Linked DNA regions of Rattus norvegicus. The protein of the gene in region 1 purifies or fractionates together with the protein of each later gene. This does not show direct contact. Links are inferred from orthologs where the notes say so. Each region holds a gene or a part of one and is shown in the gene's direction. Other genes may lie near its edges.

Region 1 (6,561 bases):
ACCACACCCTAATTTCAGTTTGCTTTCCCGTCTTTTGTGCCTATTGTCAAACAGACTTGACAATTACAGTTTTACTTTAAACGAAGGTGATAATCAGAAGAAGCAGTCACCGGCTGTCCTCAAAAGGAGGTTCATTGTTTTAGGTATGCAGTAAATGTTTGACTAATGGATTTGTTAGAGTAGAAGGACCAGTGCTGGCTTATTAATACCACTGCACAAAGTGCAGACACAAGCTGAACGTGTGTGTGGTGTGTGTGTGTGTGTGTGTGTGTGTGTGTGTGTGTGTGTGTGTGTTAGTGAGTATACTCTAGGCTCGTGTTCAGTGTAGCCAAAGCCTGATCTTCGGGTGTTCTGACTATAGGAAAAACACCCCCCCCCCTTTCTCAAAATGAATTATTTTATGTCAAACCCATTGGGCTGATCTTGGAAGAAAGGGTGTAAGAGAGAGGCCAAGTGCCATTTAAGTGAAGTGTGTTACCTAGGGTCAATTGTTTTAGCAACTAATTTCATAAAACCGCCCCCTCCTTAGCTACTTATGTTATTTTCAAATTAGCTCTTGGAACCAGCAGGTTTCTTTATCCGTCAGGTATCTTGATGACGTGCTTCTTTCTAGTGTAATGACAGCATTTGTCTTAATTTCATAGAAATTGTCATCTGGTTTTGGTGACAAAAAAATTCTGGAGCAGTTTTGTTTCGTGAGAGAAGCGAACAGAGGTCTGGAGGAAATGTAAAATTCAGCTCACTGGTTTCAAGGCCAGTCACCTGGTTATGTCTCCAGCAGAGTTACCCTTGACAGGAAGAGCGGTGCTGCATTGTGGCAAAATCCGCCTTTTCTCTGAAACATAGTCTCTGTGAATTATCAATAGGGACGGAGACTTTTAATTCTAAGCTGGGATTAGAATGCTGGAATTATATGCTTTATGTTGGCATCTGGCTAGAGAAATATAAATATAGAGGTGTCTTTATCATTTAGATCTTTCATTGGCGCAGACATTTCTTAACGGGTTTTAATAGCGTTCCCCCCCCCCCCCCCCCGGTTTTTTTTAAAGCTGAATTGGGACACAGAAAAAAGAAGCAAGTGTCAAAAAAAAAAAGATAAGAAAAGAAAGAGAAAGAAAGAAAGAAGGAAAGAAGGAAGGAAAGAAAGGACACCCCTGACAGAGGTGAAGTCAGCTATCTAATTTTAAAAGCAGGACCTTAATCGAGTCGAGCAAATATTCTTTAACTCTGCATGTGACAATTAAAATTAGGGATTGGTGGCTGCAACCACCACTGGTAAAATACCTTTTCCTGACCCATCTCCCCGAGTCAGCCAAGTGAGCCCCAGCCAGCAGCAGAGTTGATTCTGTGGAAATCCCAGCAGAGCTGCAGAGGGGAAAGGTCTAGACAAAGGCCCTCACTGAGCAGCTCCTTCATGGTGGACTGTGGTGGTTCACAGAGTTACGGCGATATGTCTTTAAGATAGGAAATTGAGTCATTTAAAAAAGAAGCTGGCCGTACAGCCCTGGCCCTGCCTCAGTGGTTGCGCAGGCTTCCTGCCAGTACCTGTACATAAGGGCCTATTGTTTACTTGCGTTAATTACAGCGCAGGATGAAAGAAGGCAATAGGGCAACTTTCGCTGTTACCATTGTTTGGGAAGAGACACGAGCTCACAATAATAGACTGGAGACAGCCAATTCACCCCAACTGCACCAGTTTTGACAAGTGCCAAATCGTGGAGGACAACAATGAGGCCATTTCCAAGAGAAGACCCAACTTCAGCCTATTGTAATGATTCAGAAAAAAAATAATGCTCTCGAAGGATACTAAATTAGTTTTGAAAATTTTAAGAGGTTATCCACAGGTCCTCTCAGCAACACACTCGAGTTTCTCAAACAATACAGTAAAAATTGCAGTCCCTGGAAAACGTCCCCACTTCTGGTTCTGTAGACACTGACCCAGTGGGTCCGGGTAAGATGGGATTTCTAGGAATCACACTGATGAACAGGGCCGTGGAGCTGAATCATTTATTCTAGTTAGATGTCAGCAGTCACTCCTGGGGACTCCATGGCCTCCTGGGGTGGGGAGGAAAGGTGGCTGGGCTCCGAGATCCCTGTCCGGATTCTAGAGGCACGGCAGGAAGAGGAGCGGGACACTCCCGCGAACAGTGAAGTGTAGTGGGGTCCAGTGGTGGTTTAGGGGTGTGGCGGCCGAAGCCCCGGTGACTACAGTCTCGAACCTGCGCCAACAGTGGCCGCGCTCCACCCGGCCCGCAGCGACGGACCGCACTCGATCCCATTAGTTTCCACTGGAGCGGGGTCGGGACGCCACGCCCCGGCCCGGCCCCTCCCGGCGGCGCACGCGCAGAGCGACTCGGGCCGGCGGGGACTACTTTCCGCGGCCCGCCCGCGCCCCGCCCCTCGTCCTCGCGCGGCGGAACGCTCCGCGCGGAGCGGCGGCGGCAGGATACACGGTGCCGCGCCGCTTATAAATCGCTCCTTGTGCGGCGCCATCTTAAGCCCTCGCTCGGTGGCGGCCGCGTCAGCTAGTGTTCTGTGCAGCCCGCGGCCCGGGGAGGCGGAGACGGAGCACGGTGGGAGCCGAGCCGTCAGTGCAGGAGGCCGAGGCCGAGCGGGCGGCCGCGAGGGAGTAGCGCGCGGCCCCAAGGTACGGCGCGGCGGCGGGCCGACTCGCGCCGCGCCAGCGGGAAACTTCGCGGGCCGGGTGGCGGCGGGAGGCCGCGGGGACGCGCGGGCTGGGGCCGGGGCCGGGCGGGCGCGCGCCGGGAGCCCGGATGGACGGGTGGCCGCCGTGGGGGGTGGGGACCGCGGTTCGTGTCCCGGCTGGGGCCGCGGCGGGGGCGGGGTGGGCGGGGGCCCCTCCTCCGTGGCCCGCAGAGCCGGGGGACGCGGGACCTGGCACGCGTCCCCTCTGTCCCTCGTGGAGCACGCACAGATAGGTCTTTTTTTCCCCCCCTGCAACGATCTGACTGTGAGTTTGAATCCAAACAACTTTAAACCGTGGAGTCGCCAAACTTGGATGCGGCGTGCGGGATGCGTCGGGAGCGTGTTCTCGGAGGGTGGTGGCGTCCTGGACTCGCGTGGGGTCGGTGGCTGTGGGGCCGAGAGGTGCTGGCGGGAATTCGGGACCGTGGACGAGTCACCGGCCACTCCTGGGGGGAGGGTGTGCGCGGGACCCGAAGCCTGAGTTTGGGGGAGGGGGACTTGCCCTTAGCCAGTAAGTGTGGGGTCCGCCTCAAGTGTTTCTCCCCGGCGCGTTTGCTTTCTGGGCGAGATGGAGTGGCCAGAGCGCTGACCGCCAGGGCGTGGGAGCCTGGAGACTTGTTCTGAGTGTTGTTTGGGGGACCGGACTTGGAACCGACGCTCCAAGTTCGGTGCCCCAGGCCCGCTCCCGTGAGCCCGCTGGCTGCGGGGCAGCTTTGTCTCGGGCTCGGGTCTCCAGACATCTGTGGGCTCCCCTCCCCCGCGCCCCCCGCACCCCCCCCGCCCCCGGGCCTGAGCTCTGAATGGAGAGCGACTGGGCTGCTGGTATGCGGAGGTCGGCGAGAGGAAATCGAGGAGTGGTTTTAGTGAAACGAGAGCTTTGTGCCATGAATAATGGTGGCTTAGACCAGACAGCAAGCTGAAGAGACGGCAGCGTTGCCTTTGATAAAGTCTGCCTCATGTTTTTCACATGGCCAAGTTGTGAAGCATTTTGTCTGGGATTTAGGAAGCCATTTCTCTATTTACTTGAGGCTTGCAGACGTCTCGGTGCAGACTCCTCGTCCCGGGAAAGAGCTTGCCCTCTTGGTTCTGATTTAATGCTGCTTAAACTTGTAGCCTTTGCATTTCGATTTTGTATGTCGGGCTCAAACTTTACTTGAGTTAAGGTCTTCTGTTACATTTAGTTCATTTTCACCTTAAACATTCAGAAATCCCCCAATTAAAAAGAAGTACCTCAAGGTTTGTTTGAGGACGTCCTTTCTCAGCAGAAAACATTGATGACAGTGCTGGGGATAGTCATTCTGTGACCTAACCTTTGTCCTGAAGGCCGAGTCTGGACAAGGCCTTTAGCGGTGGCAGGGAAGTTGGAAACTTGTAGATCTTTCTCTACAACTAACCCTCCCAGGCTGAAGTCCTTGAGGAAGCAGGCTATCTGGGAAGCTTAGCTTGCCTGGGACAGAGTCCTGGGCCTCACGGTCTGCAAGAAGACCAACCTCAAGTCCAAGAAATAGAGTTCACCTGTCATCTGGTCATTTCTAGTAGATAGTCTAGAGCAGCGGTTCTCAGCCTTCCTGATGCTGCGACCCATTAACAGCTTCTCAATTGTTACAGTAACCCCAACCCCAAAATTACGTGCTTGCTGCTCCATAACTTGCTACTGTTAAGAACCATAATGCAAATGTCTATGTTTTCTGTGGTCTTAGGTGACCCCTGTGAAAGGGTTGTTGGACCCCCAGATTGAGAACATTAGTTTAGAGACTGAATATTGGGTATCAGATGTCTACAACTCGAGGGGAAGTGTCTCCTGCTGTAGTGACGATGGGACTAGATTGGGAATGAAGCTTTAGCACTAGTTTCAGAATGCCATTGGCGGGGTGGGGTGGGGATGAGAAGACAACTTTCTTAGTATTTTGAAATGTGTGCTCAGAAAAACTGGTGGAGCCCTTTTGCAAATAAATGCAGAGCAGAGCATGGCCAAGAGGCCTGTGCACACTGCAGGTGGGGGTGCAGTGGTGGGCCTACCATAGTCTGCTGCCATACTTTTAAGCAGGAAGTGGACAGTGAAAGTAGATGGAGTCAGATGAAATGCTAGTGCTGAGGTGAGGTCAAGGTCTCTGCCCATCACCTAGTGGTAAATTTTTAGTGTCCTTGGTCACTGGCTTGGTCAGAAACATACCTGCGGGATAAACTCCTGGTAAACAAGTATTCACAAACTCGTTACAAACGTACATACGTTTTAACTCCACTTTTTGTTTGTTTTGTGGCTCCTGTCAACTTGTTTGCTATTTAAAACAATCTCACTGAAGACATCTTTATGCATAGAGAGAAAATAGCTGAGCAGCTGCCTCAGTTCTGAGGCCTGTGGAGGCAGCCTCTGTCCTGAGACATGGTCAGCCATGAGATGCTTCTGTTCAGTAACACCATTCACGGTGTGATTCCTAGATCAGCTAACAGGTTTTACAAAATGGAAAGTGATTTATGTCAATTGGAAGTGGATCAGAACTTCTTTACGCTCCGGAAAAAGGTCTTCATTTCTTGTTACCTAAGAAAGCTGCCTATGTATGTATTCATTGCAAGACCGGGCTTCCCTTGGCTGGGAACCCAGATTTATCTGCGGGGGTGGAACTCTGGAAAAAAGCATCTAACCTTCCATGAGGAGAAAGACTTTTTAAAGGAAGTAGGCAGTCCTGCTAGGACTTAGCCACTGTTTTGGAACTTAGTTGTCTCTTTTAATTAAGACTCATTTCCCAGTTTCAATTGAGACGGCAGTGCTGTAGTCATGTCCAGCGCCCCCCGGTGGACAGAACACAGGTCACTTTTCCTTGTTCTCAGCAAGTTTGTGTGGAATGGATCCTGAAGACTGTAAGGTGAACCAGTTGTGCCAGTCACTAGACTGGCCTGGGACGGTAGCTGCCTCTCTGCAAGAGAGCAGTCTGTCAGGGCACATCTGCTTACAGTAGGAGCCCAAATGCTCAGGCGCCTCGGGGAGTACAGGAGGCTTGGCTATATTGAGGAGGTAGAGGTGAAATTCTCACAAGTTCCCAGTGAAGATCTGTCACTTTAAAATGCAAGTGCAGTTCCCTCTGGTGAACCAGGAGCAGTATTGGTGGTGGGAAGGTTGTCTGTGGCACACTGAGAGTGCTTTTGTTCTTACAGACCTTCCTTTCCGCCCCTGAGCATACGATACCGTTTCAAGTTAGCCAGGTTAAGAGAGTGAAGTGTATTCTGAGTTAGTTTTGGAAGGGAAATGGTCAGTATATGAAGGATTCTTGAGAGTTTAAGAGTTTGGTTTGGGATTCTGCTTTTCAAAACCAAACTACAATCAAATAGCATAGAGACAGGTGGTGATCATTTAGCCTTCAGAACGCACGGAAACATGAGTACACATTTCTTGCTTTAAGGGAGCACTGTCACATTTGAATGTGACTTTTTAAAAATTCTCTCTTTTTTTTGGAAATATTTATGTCATTTCCCCCTTCCGTTCCTCCAAACCCATATACCCTTCTTGCTTTCATTCAAATTCATGGCCTCTATTATGAATCATTGTTACATACATACACACACACACACACACACACACACACACACACCACTAACTACAACCTGTTCGGTCTGTATGTTTATAGAGCTGGTGTTGGATGACCAATTGTATTCCTCTCTAGGGAAGACTCTCAGGGATTCTCAGTTGCCTGTGGTTCCTTGAGGCCACGTCTGCCCCTCCCTCCACTCAGCACGTCCCTTGTACTATTAACTATCTACCTAAAAATCTTATAGTACACATAATCGTATAAATATACATACATAGTCAACGAGCAGTCTTCTCATCTGGACTGACAATGCTCCCTTCAAATACTGAAA
Region 2 (6,015 bases), about 62 Mb from region 1:
CTCAGTTAGAGAGCACCCTTCCCATCCTTGAGGGTTTTGAAATGCTGTTCCAGCCAGGACATCCTGGATGCTGGAGAGCAGGGCCTGATTGGAAGCCTGGGGTGGGTCCCAGAGCTCCAGTCCTCCTTGTACAGCTGAGATAGGAATAACTCAAGGATCTGAGTCTCTGAGCTACTCCCTCCAGGGTCGTCTCCCAGGCAGGGGATGTGTGCCCACCTAGATGTGGACTTCAAGAGGCCAAGCAACCCTTGCCTTCCCTGTAATGTAAGATGTCATGGGTCAGGCTGTCTTTGAGGACAAGGAAAGATAGGCTCCTCCCCTTTCCAAAGAATCACCTGGGGTTGCTGATGAGGCCCCTTTCTCTTGTCTCCATTTGTGCTGTTAGTTTCTTCTGAGTCTTCTCAGAGAGATGAAATTAGTAGCAGATATCTCAGGCCTTGCCCACCAGAGTCATTGGCCCCTTCCCTGAGCCTCTGCAAGCAGGCACAACATGTCCCGTCCCACCCCATCTCACACTTTCACGAACTTGTGTCAACAGTTTATAGATTCATACCTCTCACGTACACACCTGTATACATTCATGTTCCCCAGCATGGTCTTACCCTTTCATACCTCCCTTCCTAAGCTGTGTGCCCTGGCTCATGTGTGTGACCCTTACTTACATGGGACACATTCAGTTCACACCTGCATACACAGTTGTGCATTCCCACTAGTCTGCCCTCTCCTGTGCACAGAGAGGCTCCGACTGTGCTAGCAGGTAACATCCCCACAGCTACCTGTGTGCACACTTGCTCCAGAGCGCAGACTCACCTAGCCTTGGACCTTCAAGGCCTCTGAACTCCTAACCTGTTGGCTTCTTTGTGTTGCAGCCCTCCCACGAGCTGGACGACAGCAGCAGTGAGTCCAGTAGCATCCAGCTGGAGGGCCCCAATTCCCTCAAGGCCTTGGATGAGAGCCTTGCTGAACCCCACTTAGAAGACAGGACCCTGGTTTTCTTCGACCTCAAGATTGATAATGAAAGTGGGTTCCCTGAGACCTAACCTGCCTCTTCTTAGCTTAGTCTCTGAGTCCCCAGGGAAAAGACAGGTAGAACCACGTCTAAGGCTCCAGCCATCCCCTAGTCAGCAATGACAGCCAGGTGGACAGAACTGGGATGCCAAGTGTTGCCATATCTGCAATGGAACCTGGACATGGGAGGGAGAAATATAACTCCACAGATTCACCTCTGAAAAAACCTTTGTGGAGAGACCAGGAACAGTGGATAGGCCATTGTTGACAAGTAATCCACTCTTGACTTTTGGCTATAAACACACATTTCCCAGAACAGGGCCCAGCCCACCAGCAGATACATAAGGAGGCCTGAATAACCCAGGTCACAGAGAGTTGTGACTCCTTCTGGAAGTCCCTAGTCTTCCTCTCTGTCTGGCCTCTCAGCTTTGGCCCTTTACTCTGGTCAGCAGTTATGGGCCCGGTATTGGGAGTAGCCCAGCCAGCCAGAATCATTAGATATTTAGCACAGAAAAACCATCTTTGGGTTTCAGGAGGAGACTCTGGGCCATGCTTTTAAGGGGTGCAGCCCAGGGCTCCAATCCAGCAGGGACAGATGGGGTTGGAGGTGGGAACAGAATAGAAGGCCGATAAGAAACACTGTGGGGTCTCTGTGAGAGGTGGAGGTTGAGGAAATAGAAAATGGGCAGAACTCTAAAGGTTGGGCAAACTCCAGGGCAGGAGAAATAGGAAAAGCCAGCTGTGGGACAGGTGAGCCCCCCAACCCCCATCAGAGCCAGGCAAGGGCTACATATGGAAGATACTTGGTTCCTGCCAGCAGGCTTCCAGGTGGGATTTCTAGACAACGAGTCAGCAGCCCCGATCCCTTGCACCCACCTCAGTGAACCCTCCTGAACCCTGAAACCTCACCCTACCCTTCTTTCCTGCCTAGCCCAGAAAATTAGCCAACTGGCTGCGGTGAACCGGGAAAGCAAGTTCCGTGTGCTCATCCAGCCCGAGGCCTTCAGCGTCTACTCTAAGGCCGTCTCCCTGGAGTCCGGGCTGCAGCACTTCCTCAGCTTCCTCAACTCCATGCACCGTCCCCTCTTGGCATGTCCTAGGCTGTGGGGGCCCGGACTCCCCATCTTCTTCCAGGCCCTGAACGACATTAACAAACTGTGGGAATTCCAGGACGCCATCTCGGGGTTCTTGGCTGTGTTGCCCCTCATCCAGGAACGCATACCCAGCGCCAGCAGCTTCAAACTTAGGAACCTAGCGAAGACCTACCTGGCGAGAAACATGAGCGAACGGAGTGCCTTGGCTGCTGTGCTGGCCATGAGAGATCTGTGCTGCCTCCTTGAGGTCTCCCCAGGTCTGCAGCTGGCCCAGCATATCTACTCCTTCAGTAGCTTACAGTGCTTTGCTTCCCTGCAGCCCCTAATTCAGGCACAGGTCCTGCCCCAGCCTGAGGCCCGCCTGCTGGCCCTCCACAATGTGAGCTTCCTAGAATTGCTGACCGCATACCGCAGCAACCGGCAAGAGGGCTTGAAGAAGTATGTCCACTATCTGAGCCTGCAGACCACCCCATCATCAGCTTCCACCCAGATTGCCCAATTCCTGCAGGCTCTGAGTGCCTACATGGATGGACAGTTGGAAGGGCACATCCCTGCTGGGGCAGAAGGCACTGCTCTTTCTCTCTCTGGCAGAGCTGAAAATAAGGGATGCCTGGCCTAGCCGCTCAGCACAGAAGGAGGGCTGTCTCTGAGCCAGGCCCCACCCTTCACTACATTCCCAGGTCCCCGTCATTTAGTTCAGAACAGGTGTCCTTTCTCTGGGACCAAACTCAATTTTCTCTAAAGTCCCTGCAGCGGACATGAAAGGTACCCCGGGCCTAGATCTCCCTTTCAGAAGCCAGAACCAGGAAGGGTTGCATAAAGAAGGCATGATTTCTGGGCTCCCAAGGCCCCCAGTCACCACCTACCACTACCATGGGTGGCCTTGCAGCTCTCCCTGGATGCTCAATCCGTGTCCCAAGTGACCTGCTGATAGCCCACAGACAATACTTTAAGGTGGTACCAACCGCTATACCAGCAGCCCCATGAGCACTCAAAGTGCCTTTCGAACCAAATCGCCCTCGAGAATTTGGGTTCTCTCAGCCCCAACTGACCAGAGGCCAACTGCGTTCAGTTCTATTTTTCTTAAAGTACTTTTGTTCTAAAGGGGCCTTGCAGCAGCAGAAAGTCAGGAACTGTCGATCCACCCATGCCCGTTTTTAGTCCTCGGTTCATCAAGCCACCAGACTCCTCCCTGCACTCAGCCCTTCCAAGGGGCATCTGTGGAGCACGGGCACCTCAAGCTTGGGATGGCGAACCCGTGGGCTTTACCGAAGGTCTCCGGAATCTCTGGAGCAGGGCCTGTAGTGCTAACACGTTCTCTGGGTGGTTCTGCATGCTCAATTCTGAGCATGACTGCTGCCTCAGACCATCCCCCTAAGGGCAGCAGAGAAAGGCCCTGGCCTTGCACATTGAGGATGACTAGGAAAGGGCCAGAACCCCAGTGTTCTCTGAGGTGAGCTGGCTGACCTGCGGTGTTATCTCAGCCCCCACACAGCCAGCCCTGCCATCCTGGACTTTCAGGGTCAGACAGCAGGTTCACTGGGACAACAGGTAACTTGGAGCCCAGCTCTCATTTTGAGCCATTGGTCCCTGGCCGCATGGCCATCGTGGGGGTCAGTTGTTCCCTGCGGTTGTTGTGCTGCTGCTGCTACTGCTGCTGCTGTCCTCCTCACCCTGACCCACTCTTGGTTGCTCCTATGGTGTTTTCCACGTAGCCCAGAGTGCCCGTGTTTGCATCTTGAGGCCTCCACTTTCATATGGGTGATGTCTGCGTGCCCACACCTCTGACTCATCCTGTGGGTGTTCTAAGGCGATGTTTCCTCAACCTTCCCAATGCTTTGACCCTTTAATACTCAGGTTGCGGTGGCCCCCAACCATAAAATGATTTTGTTGCTGCTTCATAACTGTAATTTTGCTACTGTCCATGAACTGTAATGAAAGCATCTGATATGCGACCCCTATGAAAGGGTTGTTTGACCCCCAGATGGGTCAACAGCAGGTTGAGAACTGCTGCTCTAAGGCATTCTGCAGACGCTCATTCCTACCACAGTAAGGCTGAACTCTGGAAACTATGCATTAGAGCTCTGGTTCTGTGTGGGGATAAGGGTGGGAGGGGAAAGGAGTTTGAGACCCTCGCCTGGCTGTACTGGCAAGGCAGTGCGGGGCCGTGTCTTATACCTTGCCCTTGTCCTATCCCTGAACTAAACAGGGCCCACTGAGTCCCTGCCTCACTAGGTTGCTTGTCTTCAGCTGCTGATAGCTTAGTGACAGAAGGAAGCCCCGCCCTGTCACTGCTGTCACAGCCTTTAGTAAACATGTGAATCCTGAAACCCTAGCTCTTCTCATCCCTCCTTCCCTAGAGGAGCCTTTGAAGTGCCTTTTTTCCTGAGGACAAAATGCTCTCCCAGGCATGGGTGAGCAGGTAATTGCCCAACTCAGCTTTGGGAAAAGTCTTTCAGAGTCTGGCAGAGCTGAGCATCTCCTTGTTCAGAGCTAAGGACATGAATCCTCTATTTCAAGTAGGGAAGCCTAGGTGGACTTCCCTCAGGGTGGCTTCCAAAAGGGAGAGGCATCAACTTCAAGGATTGCCTCCCAAAGGAGGCACGAACCAGAGACCAGGACCTGCAGGCACTTCGCTGCTGGCCTCCCCCGTTTTCAAGTTTCTAGAGCTGGCAATAAAATCCGATAAATTGAAAGTGAGGAGCAGCGTAGGAAATTGGCAATGTGTGGTCCCTCTGTTGTCTTTGATATCCTGGATGGAGCTTAGCTCACAACTTTCAAAGCTTCAGTGCACAGCATACTAGGGGATCAGTTCCTGGGCTGGGTAAGCTGCCAGGCTTGTTCAGCACCAATGTACTCACTTCCTGTCCCAGATGCCCAAGTTCCACTTCCAGAGCTTTAGTCTCTCAGCTTGACCTTTCGACCAAAATATATCGAAGTTTAGCTGCGTGTGCCACATTTTACATTTTTGTCAAGATTTACCCACAGACACAGCAACCAACACCTTATTTGGTCTGGGAGTTGGGATTCAGTTTTTGGTAGATTGTGGCCCTGATCTGGTACTCCTAACTCCCTGGTCCTCAGGCAGCTCCTCTGTAAAGTGAGGTAATGTATGTTATATTTTTACTTCATGAGATCTTTGCTGGAATTAAAAAGAAGAGTAGTGCATGTGACTTAAGGTCTTATTTTATAGACAAATAAGATGAGAGTTACCACGTTTTAAGAAAACGAACACCAAGTCTTAGCACTGTAACAATATGACACACTGTGTTGGGGCACGGGGGAGGCATCTAGATCTATGGGAGCGAGCCAAGAGTCAGGCACCACTACATCATAGTAAGGGAGCAGCTCTGTGTTCCTGACATACCCAGTGGGACAAGGACCTGAAGTAAGGTCAGGCTTCCAGGGGCTGCTTGGCTCATTCCTGCCCCAGCCTCTCTTTTGGGAACAAAGGCTAGCTCATGCCCTTGTGGATGTCCCTTGAAGGTCTGCTTTAGTCTATCCCCAACCATGTTTCCCTATCCTGCACTACACCGAATGCTACTGAGGTGCCTGCTCTGCCACCCTGGACCATACTCCATTTCACCTTCAAAGTTTAACCTTGATCCTGTCCCTCTCAGCAGATCCCCTAGGTCTTCTGAGACGGTCCCTGTCAACACCCTAGGTTTGTCTGGTTCCCCCGCATTCCGGGTTTCTGCCTCTTTTTTTTCTCTCTATTAAGGGCACAGCTAATTAGTGTGGACTCCCTGGCTGTGGCACTCTAGCCGTTAAGTCAGGACTCTGAACCATCCCAGGTAGAAGATGCGCCAAGCTTACACTACTCCCAGCTTCTGTCAGCAGAGGGCGCCACAGCCCACATGTCTGACTAGAGGTTTGTCAGACCATTGTGCACAGCTCTGCTGGGGTTGGTGGC
Region 3 (6,015 bases), on another chromosome or scaffold:
GCACTGGGGCATTGATCGCCATCCTTGCCTGCATCGTCATTCTTCTGGGTAAGGATCTCTCTGCCCCATGGTCCAACCGATGCACATGCTTCAAGAGACTTACCCAGTACAGAGTGACTGCAAGGACTGTACTGTGTACATTCACACAGTTTAAAACAAACCGCAAGATGCAATAGCTCTCGTGAAGTCTATTGCACAGTGGGTAAGGAGGCTGAGCTGGCCAATTATGCTGGAAGAATTTGAGGAAAATCCTAATGTGGACTTTACGTGGTATGATAGGACAGTAAAGCAAATGCCATCAGTGAGCTGGAGGGACACTGGAAACAGTTGTATAGCTGAAGAATTTATGCAGAAACCTGATATATGAGGGAGGTTTTTCTGTTTAAGAATAGAAATGAAAATGGATTAGGAGCAATGGAACCAAAAGAATAATTATTGTTGCAATGGATAGATGAAGAAAGAGGAGGACCTCTGCCAGAAGAAGCAGAGCAGGGATCTTCTAATTACCTGCAGCATCTATCCATCTGCTTGCTTTGACTTATGGCCATACCCATGAGCTTCTCCATCAGTTGGTGATGAGGTAGGCCTTACTTCTGCTCATGTTGTAACAGAACCAAGTACCACTGTAGGACTTCAAATGCAAGGCATCTTACAACAAATTTACTTATTTTCTATAGGATGAATTAATAGGACCACCTCCATAGGAAGGAGGCAGAGAGGTTGGTTTAGCAGTTATTAGGTGCTATCTGGGAGTCATATCCTATGGAAAAGTCTGAGAGATATAGACAGATGTCTTCAAAGTTTCTATATTGGATGAATTCAGATTCTCAAGGAAGGAATTCACAATCAAATGAAGGTACATTGTTGATTCTGTGGTTGGGACATAAGGTAGTATGGATGTAGGTTAGAGAATGTCTGGCATTGGACAAAGGTGTCAGACATATTCCTAGAGAACATGCACAAATTCTGGAAGTAGAATTTTATAGCTAATGAAAGATGCTGTACTGTGTGGGTGCTCCAAACTAGGTATAAAGCTCTCTCAAAAATTAATGCTAGATGTATAAACCAAAGTATGATAATAAATGTTAGATCATGGAGCAGGAGCCGATAGCCCTGTCTTGTTTCTGACATGGGATACCAAGAAATGTTCCTGAGATGAACAAAAAACCAAAAGCAAGCATAAACAAGCAAATAACAACAGCAAAACAAATCCATTAGTCAGTTAAATAACAACAACAACAAAAGTGAAAAAGGAACCTGGGGAGGATGAATATGCAGCAGAGAAGTCACAGGGCTCCTGGAACTTGTGTAATCTGAGTTAAGTCTAGTTTCTAATCCCTGATCCTTAGAAAGATGTGAACCCAAAGCTCTCACTTTATTTGCCAAAAGCAGCTGCAAGCCTTGTTTTCTGTCTTGTGTGGGAGAGTCTTCAAACAAATGATTTTTGGAGCCTCCTGATGAGAGTGGGGAGGGCACTGAATCGATAGAAATTAAGAAGTATCTAGCATTCCATATAAATGATTGCTGGCTCTGCCAAGTGCGCAAGCCTAGTGGAATACTTCTCCCAGGAAAGATAGGATGGCCACACCTGTGTTTTTAAATAGCATTCCATTTTTATGTTCATTAGGCAGTATATTTTTCGTCCGAGGGTTTTTATAGTTGCCCCCTCACTCTTATGGTAAGATTTACTTCTGTATTACAGAGTAGGGCCTTTGGACAGGAGTCGCCTATTTTCATAGTCCTGAGCGAACATTTTAATCTTAAATGTGGGGGAGTCAGTTATACTTGTTTGCAAGAAGAAATAGGCATTCATGTTCCTCTTTCAGGAAACAGTAATCCTCCCTGATTCTTCAGAGGACTGCCAAATAGCATTGCGATTCATTTGCAAAACACTGAAGATAATTCCAATCTGTCAGTTCACAGGGTATGATGCTCTCAGGGCAGATTGTACAGACAGAGGCAGGTCAGCGTGTAGCTCTTTGGGAGTTCTGGGGAAAGATCCTTTCTCTCATCACTCCAGGTTCTTAAGCAGAGCGCCTCTGGGATGACTAAGCAGGCAGGTTAGGCTTAACTTTGGGTTGCTGACATTCTTTTTCTTATCCTACAGTCATCGTTGTGTTGTTTGTGACCCTGAGGAGGCAAAAGAAAGAACCACTCATTGTATTTGAAGAAGAGGATGTCCGGGAGAACATCATAACCTATGATGATGAAGGGGGTGGTGAGGAAGACACCGAAGCCTTCGACATTGCCACCCTGCAGAATCCTGACGGTATCAATGGATTTATCCCTCGCAAAGATATCAAACCTGAGTATCAGTACATGCCTAGACCTGGGCTGCGACCAGCACCCAACAGTGTGGATGTGGACGACTTCATCAACACAAGAATACAGGAGGCCGATAATGATCCCACGGCCCCTCCCTATGACTCCATCCAAATCTATGGTTATGAGGGCAGGGGTTCCGTGGCTGGGTCCCTGAGCTCCTTGGAGTCTGCCACCACAGATTCGGACCTGGACTACGACTATCTACAGAACTGGGGACCTCGTTTTAAGAAATTAGCAGACTTGTATGGCTCCAAAGACACTTTTGATGATGACTCTTAACAATAATGATACAAATTTGGCCTTAAGAACTGTGTCTGGCATTCTCAAGAATCTAGAAGATGTGTAAACAGGTATTTTTTTAAATCAAGGAAAGGCTCATTTAAAACAAGCAGAGTTTTACAGAGAGGAAACATTTAATAAAACCGCAAGGACATCAAAGTGGAAAATACTGTGAAGTACCTTTTCCCACTAAAAAAAGCAAATATTGAAGTTGTTTATCAACTTCACTAGAGAAAAAACCACTTGGCACACGAAATATTTAAATGGAGGAAAAGTCCACAGTGAACTTACAATGAAGGGAAATCGTCTATGTGTTATGAACATCTGAGTCTCTCTTATTTTATTTTTTAATTTGTCAAAGAAGCTTCCACAAAATTAGAAAGGACAACAGTTCTGAGCTGTAATTTCGCCTTAAACTATGGACACTCTATCTGTAGTGCATTTTTAAACTTGAAATATATAATATCCAGCCAGCTTAAACCCATACAATGTATGTACAATACAATGTACAATTATGTCTCTTGAGCATCAATCTTGTTACTGCTGATTCTTGTAAATCTTTTTGCTTCTACTTTCATCCTAAACTAATACGTGCCAGATATAACTGTCTTGTTTCAGTGAGGAGCACCCTATTTCTATGTCATTTTTAATGTATCTATTTGTACAATTTTAAAGTTCTTATTTTAGTATACATACAAATATCAGTATTCTGACATGTACGAAAATGTTACAGCATCACACTTATATTTTATGAACATTGTACTGTTGCTTTAATATGAGCTTCTATATAAGAAGCAATCTTTGAAATAAAAAAAGATTCTTTTTTAATTCTGGGTTTGATTCTTAACATTGAAAAAAATAAGGATTTCTAATGATCCATTTATATTTCTAATTTAATTGTTATCTTTTAATAACCCTATTTATGATCTGTTGTAGTCTGCTGCTCTTATTGTTTATTTAAATCAAATATGTTTGGGTTTTTTTAAAGATAAGATTCTGTATCTTCATGTAAATTATTTTTGTATGTTCTGGCTTTTCCTGGAGTATATCTTTAAAGAAGGACATTAGAGATCTAGACTAGCCTATGATTAGCCTATGGATTTACAATATGTTATATATTATGCATTTAACTTGTGAACTCACAGTTATGAGAGACAAATTCATGAGGACTGTCAGACCTCTCGATGTTCTAGATATAGACTTGATGGCCCGCCTTGAGCATTGTGGCGTTGAAGGGGTTCATAGTCAAAACCAACTCTGGTTTTCCATATGTAATTTTTATTAGGATAAAGACTGACTGACAGTTGAAAGTGCTCATTTTTTTCCTCCTGTAATTTTATTTTGTCTTCAAATAATATAAAATTTCAAGTCTTGATGAGAGAAAGGACAATTCACTTTCCAACCTTTATTTTAGAAGATGCTTTGGGTCATGTACTCTCAATGAGATCAGGGACTATGTTGAACAGTGATGATTGATGTCATTTGATCTGTGATATGCCACAGTCATATGCAGTTGCCTCTAGTTTCCTGGAAAGTGGAACTTCTGGGAAGGACCTTTCACTTGTACAACGGACCAAAGGTCCAGACAAAGCAATACTTGGGAAGACACCGCACAGAGTCACACTGCAACTACTTCCTCTCCTTTTCTTGAAACACAAGACACATGCTGTTTTTTCCCTTGGATTATGGATATTTTTGGTTCTTTTTTACTTTATTGTAGTTATTTTTTGAGACCTTATACACTATTTTTTTATGATGTGCTCACTCCCAGTTTACAATGCATCGACATTGAATCAGTTGACTAATTCAATGGGAGAAAATCAGTGGACATGCCACTTGAGAGTCTTTTATCACAGGAAGGAATGTGCATTCTAGGTACTTGCAAAATTGCAGGTTAAGTTTATTTTATAGATAGACTTTGTAATCCAAAGAATATTTTGCTAAGTTTATGCTGATCTCCAATTGAATTGAAATAACTGACTAACTCAAAAGGAAAACGAACCTTGTTTACTCAGCTGTAAGTCCCCTCACCATCACAATGATTCTTTTACTTATGTAGGAATGTAGTCAGAATAGAGTTGACAACTCCATTTTCACATTTTTATGCCAAGGAACTTTTTTCCCCAGTACTGTCTACTTTTCAATAGTTAAGAGGTCTTGTTTTTCTTATTCTCTTCCCTTTTCCTTTTTCTTTCCTTTTTCTTTTTTCTTTCCTTTTCTTTCTTTCTTTCCTTTTTTACTTTAAGGATCTTAATGTTTGTAGAATCCTCTTAGAAGCTTGGAAATAAAATGTCTTTCCCAATTCATGGAATCTTTTTTTCATTCGGAACATGTTACCTTAAAAGCATTTTATCTTAAGGGGTCCTTCCTTACTTGCTTATAAAGCAATCACAGCTTCATGACATTGGTGTACACACACATGAAAAAGAAATTCTGGTGTGTTCTATCTGACATGTGTCTATCTGGTATGGTATGGCTTACACTTATCATTCATTCATTCATTCACTTATTGATTCATTCATTCATTGCTGAACTCATTCTTTAAGATCTGATTTTTGCATGCCATATATTAGCTACTTGAAGTTTAGAATAATCTTTGCTACCTTCTTTGACAATGTTTATTTTTCTCAATTATGGTTCAAAATACCTGCTTTGTTGACTTTCCTTCACCTGCTTCATGTTCATATCACCTATCCCTCAAGACATGCAAATAAATATGATTAAATACCTAGGGGAAAGGGTAAGATGGAATGTAGGTTTATTACAACTGTTCCGGTCAGAAATCCTGAGGAAGATGTGGGAACACGAGATCAGGTTATCTATATCTATTAGAGAACATTTTAAAGATGCTGATTCATGATTCACTGTAAATATAGTCACTTAGTCAGATGGGATCTGGTTAAGAGTGTTTGAAATTGTTCTTGGGTCTTTATGCTACTTTATGAGTGTCTTTACAGTTCAGTCAAAAGAGACATAAAGAAATGGAACTGTTGAAGGAATAGTACCACGCTCTATGTAACAAGCAGTTCAGGACAGATTAGAAGTGTATACAACCTAAAACATGGCAGGGCATATCTCTAGGAAGATGAAAATAAGATATAGTGAGATCATCAAATTCATTCATCAGAAATGGGAAAGAAAAATGGGCCTGTTTTGCTCAAGTACTACTAGGATAGTTTATGAAACTGTCAAAAGTTACTTTTGCTCTTAGTTTCTCTTCACAGAGAAGCTACAGTGTTATAAATACAAAACCAAACAAAACCAAACAAACTAGATCATAGTTCTATTAAATAAACTCCTTTCCATTTTCTCAAAGACTTAAGATGAATTTGGATTCCTTTGCTTTCTTACTCTATGAGATTACGATCCTATAAATCTCTTCAATTTTTTTCTCAGTTCATCCTTCTGTCA
Region 4 (4,517 bases), on another chromosome or scaffold:
CTTGGTTAGACTTGGGGTGAGGAGGACACTGTTAGTTATTACAGGTTAACCTAATGATCCAAAATTTCTTTTAAGGTCGAAGTGGTTCCGGAAACTTTGGTGGTGGTCGTGGAGGTGGTTTCGGTGGCAATGACAATTTTGGTCGAGGAGGGAACTTCAGTGGTCGTGGTGTGTATGGCTTTGTTTGGCTCCTTGTTGGTTTTAGAACTTATAACTAGTAATTGCTACCCTGTGTCCCCAGCACTTACAGGTTTTGATATTTGATAAGTATTCATTCACGTACAAAGCCTGGTTTAAAGCTTTGGTTTCTTCCAGGTGGCTTTGGTGGCAGCCGTGGTGGTGGTGGATATGGTGGCAGTGGGGATGGCTATAATGGATTTGGCAATGATGGTAAGTTTCTTAAGGAGTCTGTAAGGAGTGGTTTCTGGCGACCTCTACCTTTAGAATAGGCTACTAGAGACTAAACCTAGTGCATGACAAAGTTCAGTCAGCCCCGTAAAATGCATGCCCTGAGCAGCCTTTAGCTATTTAACTTGCGTAGATTTTTCTTGTTAAATACTTTTGTCTTATTGAGAAGACTTGTATTCTTGTAGGTGGTTATGGAGGAGGCGGCCCTGGTTACTCTGGAGGAAGCAGAGGCTATGGAAGTGGTGGACAGGGTTATGGAAACCAGGGCAGTGGCTATGGCGGGAGTGGCAGCTATGACAGCTATAACAACGGAGGAGGCGGAGGCGGCTTTGGCGGTGGTAGTGGTAGGTATCCAGTGACGCAGGTACTTGGTGCGGAGCTAGATGAGACTTCCAGGGTTTATGCCCGTCTCAGACTTCACGGCTGGCTCTTAGAGCATTGTAGGTACATTGCATGGTGCGTGCAAATAGGCTTGCTATGCTACCTCCTCCTGGCTTTAAGCTGGGGCCGCCTCCCCCAAAATGAGTAGGTGGATGAGTGGTTAGTGTCTTCCTTCCACATGAGGTAGTTAGAGACATAGCTGGATTGTCTACCTTCTGCTGGGACTTCAGGCATTTAGTTGATATATCCAAGAAATGTCTGTCTTGACCTAGAATATGTACACAAAGACCTTCGATTCTAACTTGCCACTGAGAGAAACTGTCATTAGTTAGGTTGATTTTCTTTAAATGTTGGATTATTAACTGAATGCCTCACTCAGAATGAAATGTAAGGGCTTGAAGTTGACAGAAGGTATATATAATCTTTGATTCAGGATCCTAAACACATTGGCTTGTCAGTCATCAAAGACTTTTCCATTTTAGGAAGCAATTTTGGAGGTGGTGGAAGCTACAATGATTTTGGCAATTACAACAACCAGTCATCAAATTTTGGACCGATGAAAGGAGGAAACTTTGGAGGCAGGAGCTCTGGCCCTTATGGTGGTGGAGGCCAGTACTTTGCTAAACCACGAAACCAAGGTATAGTATTATGATGTAATAAAAAACTGATAGTTAAATCTCCCTTCAAAGGGCATCAACCAGGAGGGTCATGTGATCCTTGTTAAGTCATCTTAATTTAAGCTAGGGACGTTTTTAAACAAATCGTTGATAATTACCACAAAATTGTTAGCACAAAGTATTGAAACAAAGCATTGTCTTAATACTTCAGGTGGCTATGGAGGTTCCAGCAGCAGCAGTAGCTATGGCAGTGGCAGGAGGTTCTAATTACAGCCAGGTAAGTGCCTCCTTTGTGTGTGTTCACAAAATTTTATAATTGAACCCAGTAACCCAAATGTAGCTGAGCAGTGCAACATAGTTAACATTATAACTGCAGTAAAATGGTGGATATTAAGTTAATATGCAGTTCAGCAAAATTTGTGGGAAACAACTTGCTCTATTGGATTGTAGCCTTGAGTCTTAATGTGTTTTAGATTAACAACTTTATTCCATATTGTTCAACAGGAAACAAAGCTTAGCAGGAGAGGAGAGCCAGAGAAGTGACAGGGAAGCTACAGGTTACAACAGATTTGTGAACTCAGCCAAGCACAGTGGTGGCAGGGCCTAGCTGCTACAAAGAAGACATGTTTTAGACAATACTCATGTGTGTGGGCAAAAACTCCAGGACTGTATCTGTGACTAATTGTATAACAGGTTATTTTAGTTTCTGTTCTGTGGAAAGTGTAAAGCATTCCAACGAAGGGTTTTACTGTAGACCTTTTTCACCCATGCTGTTGATTGCTAAATGTAAAAGTCTGATCATGACGCTGAATAAATGTGTCTTTTTTTTTTTTTTTTAATGTGCTGTGTAAAGTTAGTCTACTCTGAAGCCATCTTGGTAAACTTCCCCAACAGTGTGAAGTTAGAATTCCTTCAGGGTGGTGCCAAATTCCATTTGGAATTTATTTATGGTTGCTTGGGTGGAGAAGCCATTGTCTTCAAAAACCTTGGTGTTGCTAAACTGCCAGTTACTGTTGTAACTTAATGAGTTTCACCATTTAAAGGGTCATCCAAGCAAGATCACAATTTGGTTATAAAATGGTTGTTGGCACACCCTATGCAATATCAAAATTGAATAACGGTCTCAGATAAAATAACAGATGGGAATGAAGCTTGTGTATCATCCATTATCATGTGTACTCAATAAACGATTTAATTCTCTTGAATGGAATGACAACTGTATGGATTTGGGACTGGCAGAGATTTGGACTTTCCCTACCCAATACCCCTGGTAAATGTTGATTGTTTGTTACCACAGTGTAAGTTCAAAGCTCTGCCAGCATAGAAGCCAACTGCTGGTTAATGCCACCTATAAGCCCAGAGATTAGCAGTGTTGGGGCATCTTTATAAGAACCCTTAATTGCCCTAATCACAGGCTGTAGTGAAGGAAAACTGCAGTTTTAACTGGGTTGTGGGTGGGTGTGCCTCAAGGTGATTCTAGTTCGTTGAAATTTTAAGTTACAAATATAATTAACAATGTATAATTTTGTATTAACGGCAGTTTTCCTTCACACTACTGTCCTCAAGTGTTAATTGTATAGAAAATGAGTTCAAAACAGTTACTATCCGATAATTGTTACTTGTGCATAGGTTCTTACAAGTTTCCCATTTGGTGCCCCTTTTAAGTGCCATTGTACGGGGTAGCATAGATGACTTGTGTATTCCTACTCATGGGTATATATATATTGCTTGGAAGTTTTGGGGAGGGGGGAAGTGGGGAGGTGGGAGGTGGGGGTGGGGGAAGCATGGATGGTAGTTCCATGATACTGGCTGAGTTTGCAATAGCAGGTGGAACCTTAACTATTGAGGGAGTTTGCAGATACCTCAGGAATCGGGACAATGCCTTTAAAGATCCAGGAGATGTTCAGCTACTAGGAACTGCTAGCAAGTATAGCGCGAATGGCTTCCAGCTCAGAATCTCTACAGCTGAGAGTAGACACTTGTGGTATGTGGAGTACAGATAAGCCAGGGGCAGGCCACGGCACCTCCATGAAAGCTAGGAGGGAGTGAAGTTTGAGTGACCATCGCAAGGAAGGAGGCAGACGAGAGTAAGGCACACCTGACTCTTAGGACTAGCAGGCAGAGCCAGAAGGAAAGGTTTATTGCTATGCTGCTAGGTAAGAACAGATTTTACTTACATCCGTATAGTTATAAATTATAGTCCAATTTTCTGTTGGATTTCTCTTAATTATATTGAGCCAAAACTAGTCCAGTTAAGCTGCACTTGGTTTTTCTGGAGATGAATTGTTTTTATTTAATTAATGCCCTATTAGTCCTACTTGAAGGGAATGAATACATTTCTATTGTGACAATATGTTTTGGCCCTTTAATTTTATTTAACCTTCCTTTGACCCATTTTCTTAAAGCAATGGCTCAAAGTAATATTAGATACATTTCCCCAAAATGGTGGGAGGGTGGGTGGATTGTTAATGGGAGGGGGTGGGACTAGTTTAATGATGGGAATTGGCCCCACAAAAGGCTAGTTCTAAATGTTGTTTGCTTTTTTAGGAAGGAATCTGCTATGAGGCTTAACTGCTGTCATAAAATTTGTTTAAAAAACATGCTACAGAAGTTATTGGCTAAAAGGTGAGTTTTTGACTGATAATTTGTTAGAACTGTACATACAAACCAGGAGTCCACCACTGTCTTATGTAAAGCTGCATAACTGTCTTTCTTCTCCTTTACAGGAACATCCTTAAGAGAAGAGCCTTTATTCTGGGCCACTCTACTACTTCTCACTGCCATGCAGTTGGGTTTTAGCTGTACTGCTAAAAATCATTCAATTTTGTGAATGGCTTACTTTTTTTACAATAAACTTTTTAATTAACTTGGCTCTTGTCTTCCTTTGTGGCATTTTACAGCAGCAATGAGTCTTTTTACTCCTTAACACAGACTGAAACCCACATTAAAATCTAAAGACGTAATCTGGTCAGGGTGGCAAATGCCTCCAATCCCAGCACTCTGACCCAAGCATCTAATTTCTTCAGTTAGAGGATGGATTCTGTGTGGTTTACACCTAAGAGTGTTTTGAGAGGGTCTCGCTATAGTCTTGGCTGGCCTAGATCTCCCTGC
Region 5 (6,015 bases), on another chromosome or scaffold:
ATGTGCCATGGGTGGAGAACCAAGGCAGTGGTGAAGTTTTATGATATGGAACAGGCAAACACTGCTACAGATACCATCGCACGTTGGATTATGAATTTTGTCATTATGCATGAAGAAAGTATTCATTGTTGCCAAATTTTTCACAACTCCTACATTTAGGCATGTGACACAACATGAGGTCGATGTCAGGTTTTGAGAGCCTGACATCTAGAGGAACAGCATATATCAATGAACCCCACAAGCTGTGTGGACAGAAGTGTTTTGGAGATACAGAAACAGGCTGAAGAGGACCTTTGATGGGAAGGCACAAGTCTGAACACAACACCAGAATGGCCTCCCCAATTCCTGCTAAAGGAAGCAGGTGGAGTGGTCTGGGAAGTGTCTACTAACAGCCCCACCCACAGCCCGCTGACTGGGCACACAGGCTGCTCTGACTTCCAAGAATGGCTTTTTTGGAAATGGATTTGATGTAAATCCTGCCTTCTGACCAGTCAGAAGGAAAGACACACATCTAGACTTACACAGTGAGCTCTGTGTCATAGAGGGAAATGCCATTAGTCCAACTATTGCTTTCCCAATGGGATAACTGGACATGAGTCATCCTCTGAGGAGAATGGTTAGCCGTGATGGAGATCTGAAAGATGAGTCATGAAGAACTATCAGAAAGTGCAGGCCAGAGCCAAACAGGACAAGCTTTGGAAGGGCGTCAGATGCTCTGTGTCTTGTGATGACAGAATCTATTTGGTACCTAACATGGGGTCAGAGAAGTAGAGGAACCACACGTGATCCCCATCCTGGATAAAAGAAGAGTATGCACAAGACACAAACACAGGACTCCAAGGGTCCCCTCCTGGCTCTGAGGACACAATCTGAAGGAAGTGCGTGTTTATCAGGGTCAAAGTCTGGAGCGTTTGTTTATAAACCTGGATGGACAATGGGAGCCAGCTGGGAGTAGCCTGCCAGGGTAGGGCAGCTGTTGGCATTGAGATATTTCACCCAAACACAATGATATTAGAAAGGGGCGGGGCCAAATCTACTATACTCCAGTTCAGTGGTGAGAAAAACAGAGAAGTTTACATGGAAAGGCATCCAGTGGGAGTCCTGACCACCACTCCTCCAAACCATCAAGTTCATCAAAAATCAACTCTCGGAAACTGTTACCACCAAAGTAAAACCATAACTAAATGGCATGGTTGGATGGTGAGTGGGACATAAATACAAGATTAAAAAACATGAAAATCTGTAGAAGTTACCTGTGTTAAGCAATAATACTTCATCCGTTTGGTCCCTTCGTTGTAACAAGGGACCACACTAGTGTAACGTGTGCTGCTGAGGTGAAGGGGAAACAGGCACATGGGAACTAACAACTGTTAAACTCTAGGGACACTTCTGGAACTCCAGGATTGGTCCATACCCTTTTGTTACCTCCTTCTCCTCTGAGGCTTCTGTATTGACCTCCTGACCACCCTCTCTCTTCTCCCACCTTATTAACTAGTTCTAACTGCACACCTGCACACAAGGGTATTGCCTCATCTGATCCAAAGGGTCAGCCTCAGTTCTGAGAGCCAGAACGGGGCCTTGGATATCTATGGGTTCTATAGCGTGCCTGCTACCTGGTAGGCATCCAATTTCTGTTTTATTCAAGTGGAATTCTGTTTGGGTCATTCTAGCCTTCTAGAAAAAGTACTATTTTGAGCTCATAAAGATTTAGACTAAATATCCTCCAGTTGTAAAATATAGGATATTCAGCTCTCAAACTTCGTATTATTGTTTGACTTGTGGGTCTATTATTAGCATTTACTATCATTTACCTCAATGATGTTCAGTGCAAGGTGCCAGGCACACAGTGCTTTTCCTTAAGCTACTAATAGCATGTATAAAAGAAAGAAAGCTCAGAGGTCTAAGAGGTGCAGGACATCCTGAGTTAAACAAAATTCATAGGAGTTCTGCTCTGCAGGTTAGACACTGCAAATCACCAAGAAGAGAGTGTCTTGTGCCTCATTCCAAAAGCAAATTTACTGGGACCAATACTTAACTGTGCTGATAAATGTCTGACATCTGGTTTTGCAGGGAGAGTGCAGATGTGTAGAGCGTGCCAATTCCCACAGTGTAAACACTCAGCCTTTGAACTGCTCTGTGACATCCCTGAAGGCAGAGTTAGTACAAGACGTGCACGGCCCTACCCCATCTGAATTCTGAGCATGTGTAAATCTTTGCTTCTCGAATAGCCATATTAGTCACATTTCTGTTGCTGTGAGAAAATACTTAACAAAAGTTCAGGAAGGAAGAGCTAACTGGGCTCACAGTTTAAAGGTGCAATCCGTCTTGGTGGGGAAGACATTACAGTGCAAGCATCTGTAGTGAGAAATCAGAGAGAGGTGGACGAAGCTGCTTCACTTGCCCAGTACGTAAGGCGACGATGCCCACACTCAGTGTGAACCTTCTCATTCCTGTCAACGCTCTCTAGGAAAATTGCAACAGGCACCATCTCCAGAGGCATGTCTCCTAGACTGGTTCCAAATGCCCAAATCCTGGGTCAACAAACCATCTATGATGATGATTTATTTCATTGTACGTTCAGATAATTTAATTTTTAATATGGCCACATTTGACAGCCTGATCACAAATATTCCCCAACTCTAACCAAGTCTTCAAAGCCATATTGATAGAAGCCAGTTCTAGCACATCACCGGCACGTGTCCCATTTTTGCACGGAACAAGAGAAGCCAAGCTTTCCTGGCATTCATTTCCAAGTGGGAAGCTGTATCCATTAGTGCAAATCAACCTTAGGAATCCAATTGGGTCCATTTTAAAGATGAGATAGTAAAAACCCATGTCTTCCAAGGGAGAAAGACACTATTATTCTCTGGTGGCAAATGCGTGACTAGGCTCCATGTGCCATTCTAGGCATTGGACACAGCTAAAAAAGATGCATCACTACCGTGCTTGCAGTGACCTGGTGAAGACAAGCTCACTGGTGACCAGTTGAAAGTTCTTGTTTAAAGCGTCAGTGTCAGGGTGAGCATCCCTACTCAGCACTACACACACATATGGTCAGCATACATGCATGCATCGTCACATGTGTGCACACACACAAGCATGCACACTCGTGTATGCACCCACTGCCCATTCCCAGCTCATGTTGCCTGTTCTTCCCCAGATCAAGTCCAATGTGAACCGTCAGAATGCTAAGTATGTGCTCCAAGGAGAACAAGCTGGCAAGATCTTCAGGGTCGATGCTGACACAGGGGATGTGCTTGCCTATGAGAGGTTAGACCGGGAAAAAGTCTCTGAGTACTTCCTTACTGCCCTCATTGTGGACAAGAAGACCAACAAAAACCTGGAACAACCTTCCAGCTTCACTGTCAAGGTGCATGATGTAAATGACAACTGGCCTGTGTTTACGCACCAGGTATTCAACGCATCTGTGCCCGAGATGTCAGCTATAGGTATGTGCCTAGTCTTTCCTCTCTCTCCTCCCCTCCTCAACACCAGCCTGAAGACACCTCTCACATCAACCACCTCAATGCTTAAGGCTGGGCTCCAGTAAGCTCAAGGAAGTAATTGTGATGCTGTCTTGCACCTTTACATGATTTTGAAATGTGTCCTTAAAGGCTAACCTCTGATCTAGTCCCAAACTAAAACCTGACCCTAACCATAGATGGGTTTTAATCCTCATAATGTGCTGAGCACTGACTCTCTTTATAGCCTGGGCCCTGATCCTGACCCCAGAGCGTGTAATCACCCTAGATATGGGCTTGGGAGGTACTAACCTATCCTCAACCTGCTTCCAGAAGGTCCAGACAGAGAGTGTGTTTCTCTAGTCTTCTGTCCAGGATCTGCGCTCAAGACCATGGGACCAGACCTCCTTGAGGAAGTCTAGAACTCCAAAGGATGAGAAATAGGATCTCCATCCCTCTCGGGGCTTTGCAATACCCTTCCCAGTCCCACATTCTCATACTTTCAGAAAAGGAAAATCCACCCAGACATCACCTAAGTTACTCTCTCAAACCCAAACACCTTCATTTCTCCTGCAAACATACAAATCACCTGTTCTCTTTGCCTGTTTTCTGACTGATCTGGCTGGGCTCACCCTTGCTGGCACTTTGTCCTCGTGATGGCCCCTCTGGCACAAAGCAACCCTCATTCCCTCAGCTTGGGCAAGTAGGAACAGCAGAACCCCATTTACTATCACCAGGAAACAGGGTGAGGACCACAGTCATGAGCAGAAACACCAGAACTCTCTCTCTCCACAGGGACCTCTGTCATCCGTGTGACAGCAACGGATGCAGATGACCCTACGGTGGCTGGCCACGCCACTGTCTTGTACCAAATGGTGAAAGGAAATGAGTACTTCGCCATCGACAATTCTGGTCTGTATGACTAAACCTTTTGGGAGGGTGCCTATTTAGAGGGATGGGAGAGGGGCATGAATATTGCAGGGGCCAATGTAGAGAGAACTCTAATCTGATGGGTGTTACCAGTCACTGATCCAGAGAAGGAGTGCATAATAAATATAAAGACATATTGGAGTGGGTTAGGGGAGAAGAAAGCAGACAACTGCCCAAAACATGTACTCAAGTCCAGAAAGAAAATCAGGGCCTTTTCACCCAAGCATAGACCAGGACTCAAAAGAACATAGTGGTTGGAAGGTCTTTGTACATGTTCAGAGACATCTGATTTGAGCCTAGAACTGCTGCTCAGCCCTACAGCCCCTTGGAAAAGTTATCTAACACCTAAGAACCTTGCTTCCTTTGTCCAGAAAACAGGAATGCTCATGGTCCCTTGTGCAGTAGCTGTGAAGTTGGAATTAGATTTTGCATAGGCACAGCCATGCCACATAATTTTTTTGTGCCTCGTTAAGAGAAAACTTTAGACCAATTAAATTTTATCGAGTTTAATTTTTGCAAAGAACAGTTCACAAATTGGGACACCCCAGAAGCCAAACAAGTTCAGAGAAACCCCAGGGCTGCCACATAGTTGGGTGATATTTATAGTGCAGGGAAGAAAAAAAAAAACCTGCAGTCTAGAAACAGCTCGGTCGTTTCCAGCTGGGGTGTCTGCTTTATTTGAATAGCTTTGAACAGGTGGCAGCCTATGATTAACTGAAGCCCAGCTGCTGTGATTGGCTGAGCATACTCCTAAGTTAGGGCTTTAGTTTATTTACATGCTACTAGGTTGCAGTTCATCACAGGATTCAAGTCTGCAAGTACAGAAGGCTTCTCAGGCCAAATTTGGTGTTTAACAAATTTAAAAAACTGTAAGAACCGAACCGCGGAAGCAAGAAAGAAGGCCAGTTAGTCTAGCCAGACACACTTGTCTTCCAGAAGATGAGCAAATACACAGAGCAACTGGTACTTCTAAGGGCACCAAGAGATATGTCACTAATCTATCACAGCACTCGTAGCACTAAAAAGGGCAGCCACTTCTGCATATGTCAATACAGACATCATTAATCGAGTACAGCACTCTCAGTTCTAAGACACAGCATAGCCAATCATATTTATGTGTACCAGGGCAGACATCACTAATCTATCTCACTCTGAGTCTGGAATTGGCAGTATGGTCTTTCTCAACATTACATTCTCTTTGGCTAGGAACAATACTGAACCATACATTTGGCCAACTTTTAGCCATACAGGGCAAGGTATGGAGGCAGTGGACTATAGTTCTAGGGATCTCAATCTCAGATATATAGTGGAGTCACCGGTGTATTTCTGAAAGGATCTTGGCATTCAGATTTTCTCAAGGCTCCTCAGGTAACACAATATCTGTTGGGTCACTTTCTTTTCAGGACTCATTTTCACAAAGGACAAAAACTTGGACAGAGAGACACGGGCTGAATACAAGATCGTGGTGGAAGCACAAGATGCCCAGGGTCTGCGGGGAGAGTCAGGCACAGCCACTGTGCTGATCAGATTGGAAGACATCAATGACAACTTCCCCATCTTTACTCAGTGTAAGCCCCTCTCATAGGCCCTTAAGTAGACAGGGGCTGAGACGATCCAGATTCAG

Evidence for each region. Proteins that work in one complex are often made in the same cells at the same time.
Region 2: the proteins of Ctnnb1 (region 1) and Pml purify together in Homo sapiens (affinity purification with western blotting; 3 studies listed by BioGRID). This does not show direct contact. The link is inferred for Rattus norvegicus from reciprocal best matches to the Homo sapiens genes CTNNB1 and PML.
Region 3: the proteins of Ctnnb1 (region 1) and Cdh11 purify together in Homo sapiens (affinity purification with western blotting; 3 studies listed by BioGRID and IntAct, with this or other methods). This does not show direct contact. The link is inferred for Rattus norvegicus from reciprocal best matches to the Homo sapiens genes CTNNB1 and CDH11.
Region 4: the proteins of Ctnnb1 (region 1) and Hnrnpa1 purify together in Homo sapiens (affinity purification with mass spectrometry; 3 studies listed by BioGRID, with this or other methods). This does not show direct contact. The link is inferred for Rattus norvegicus from reciprocal best matches to the Homo sapiens genes CTNNB1 and HNRNPA1.
Region 5: the proteins of Ctnnb1 (region 1) and Cdh5 purify together in Homo sapiens (affinity purification with western blotting; 11 studies listed by BioGRID and IntAct, counting the BioPlex papers as one, with this or other methods). This does not show direct contact. The link is inferred for Rattus norvegicus from reciprocal best matches to the Homo sapiens genes CTNNB1 and CDH5.

Annotation. Positions count from the first base shown.
Region 1 is NC_086026.1:129,515,071-129,521,631, forward strand, and holds the start of Ctnnb1 (catenin beta-1), read left to right. Parts: upstream 1-2,505; 5' UTR 2,506-2,647; intron 2,648-2,842; exon of another isoform or gene 2,843-2,971; intron 2,972-6,561. UniProt on the Homo sapiens protein: Key downstream component of the canonical Wnt signaling pathway.
Region 2 is NC_086026.1:67,522,483-67,528,497, reverse strand, and holds the end of Pml (PML nuclear body scaffold), read left to right. Parts: intron 1-869; coding exon 870-1,020; intron 1,021-1,939; coding exon 1,940-2,721; 3' UTR 2,722-5,334; downstream 5,335-6,015.
Region 3 is NC_086037.1:2,307,231-2,313,245, forward strand, and holds the end of Cdh11 (cadherin-11), read left to right. Parts: coding exon 1-48; intron 49-2,107; coding exon 2,108-2,604; 3' UTR 2,605-4,910; downstream 4,911-6,015. UniProt on the Homo sapiens protein: Cadherins are calcium-dependent cell adhesion proteins. They preferentially interact with themselves in a homophilic manner in connecting cells; cadherins may thus contribute to the sorting of heterogeneous cell types.
Region 4 is NC_086025.1:136,255,809-136,260,325, forward strand, and holds the end of Hnrnpa1 (heterogeneous nuclear ribonucleoprotein A1), read left to right. Parts: intron 1-75; coding exon 76-168; intron 169-315; coding exon 316-390; intron 391-593; coding exon 594-752; intron 753-1,271; coding exon 1,272-1,427; intron 1,428-1,617; coding exon 1,618-1,673; 3' UTR 1,674-1,683; intron 1,684-1,910; 3' UTR 1,911-2,611; downstream 2,612-4,517. UniProt on the Homo sapiens protein: Involved in the packaging of pre-mRNA into hnRNP particles, transport of poly(A) mRNA from the nucleus to the cytoplasm and modulation of splice site selection.
Region 5 is NC_086037.1:835,417-841,431, reverse strand, and holds part of Cdh5 (cadherin-5), read left to right. Parts: intron 1-3,160; coding exon 3,161-3,449; intron 3,450-4,256; coding exon 4,257-4,373; intron 4,374-5,794; coding exon 5,795-5,959; intron 5,960-6,015. UniProt on the Homo sapiens protein: Cadherins are calcium-dependent cell adhesion proteins. They preferentially interact with themselves in a homophilic manner in connecting cells; cadherins may thus contribute to the sorting of heterogeneous cell types.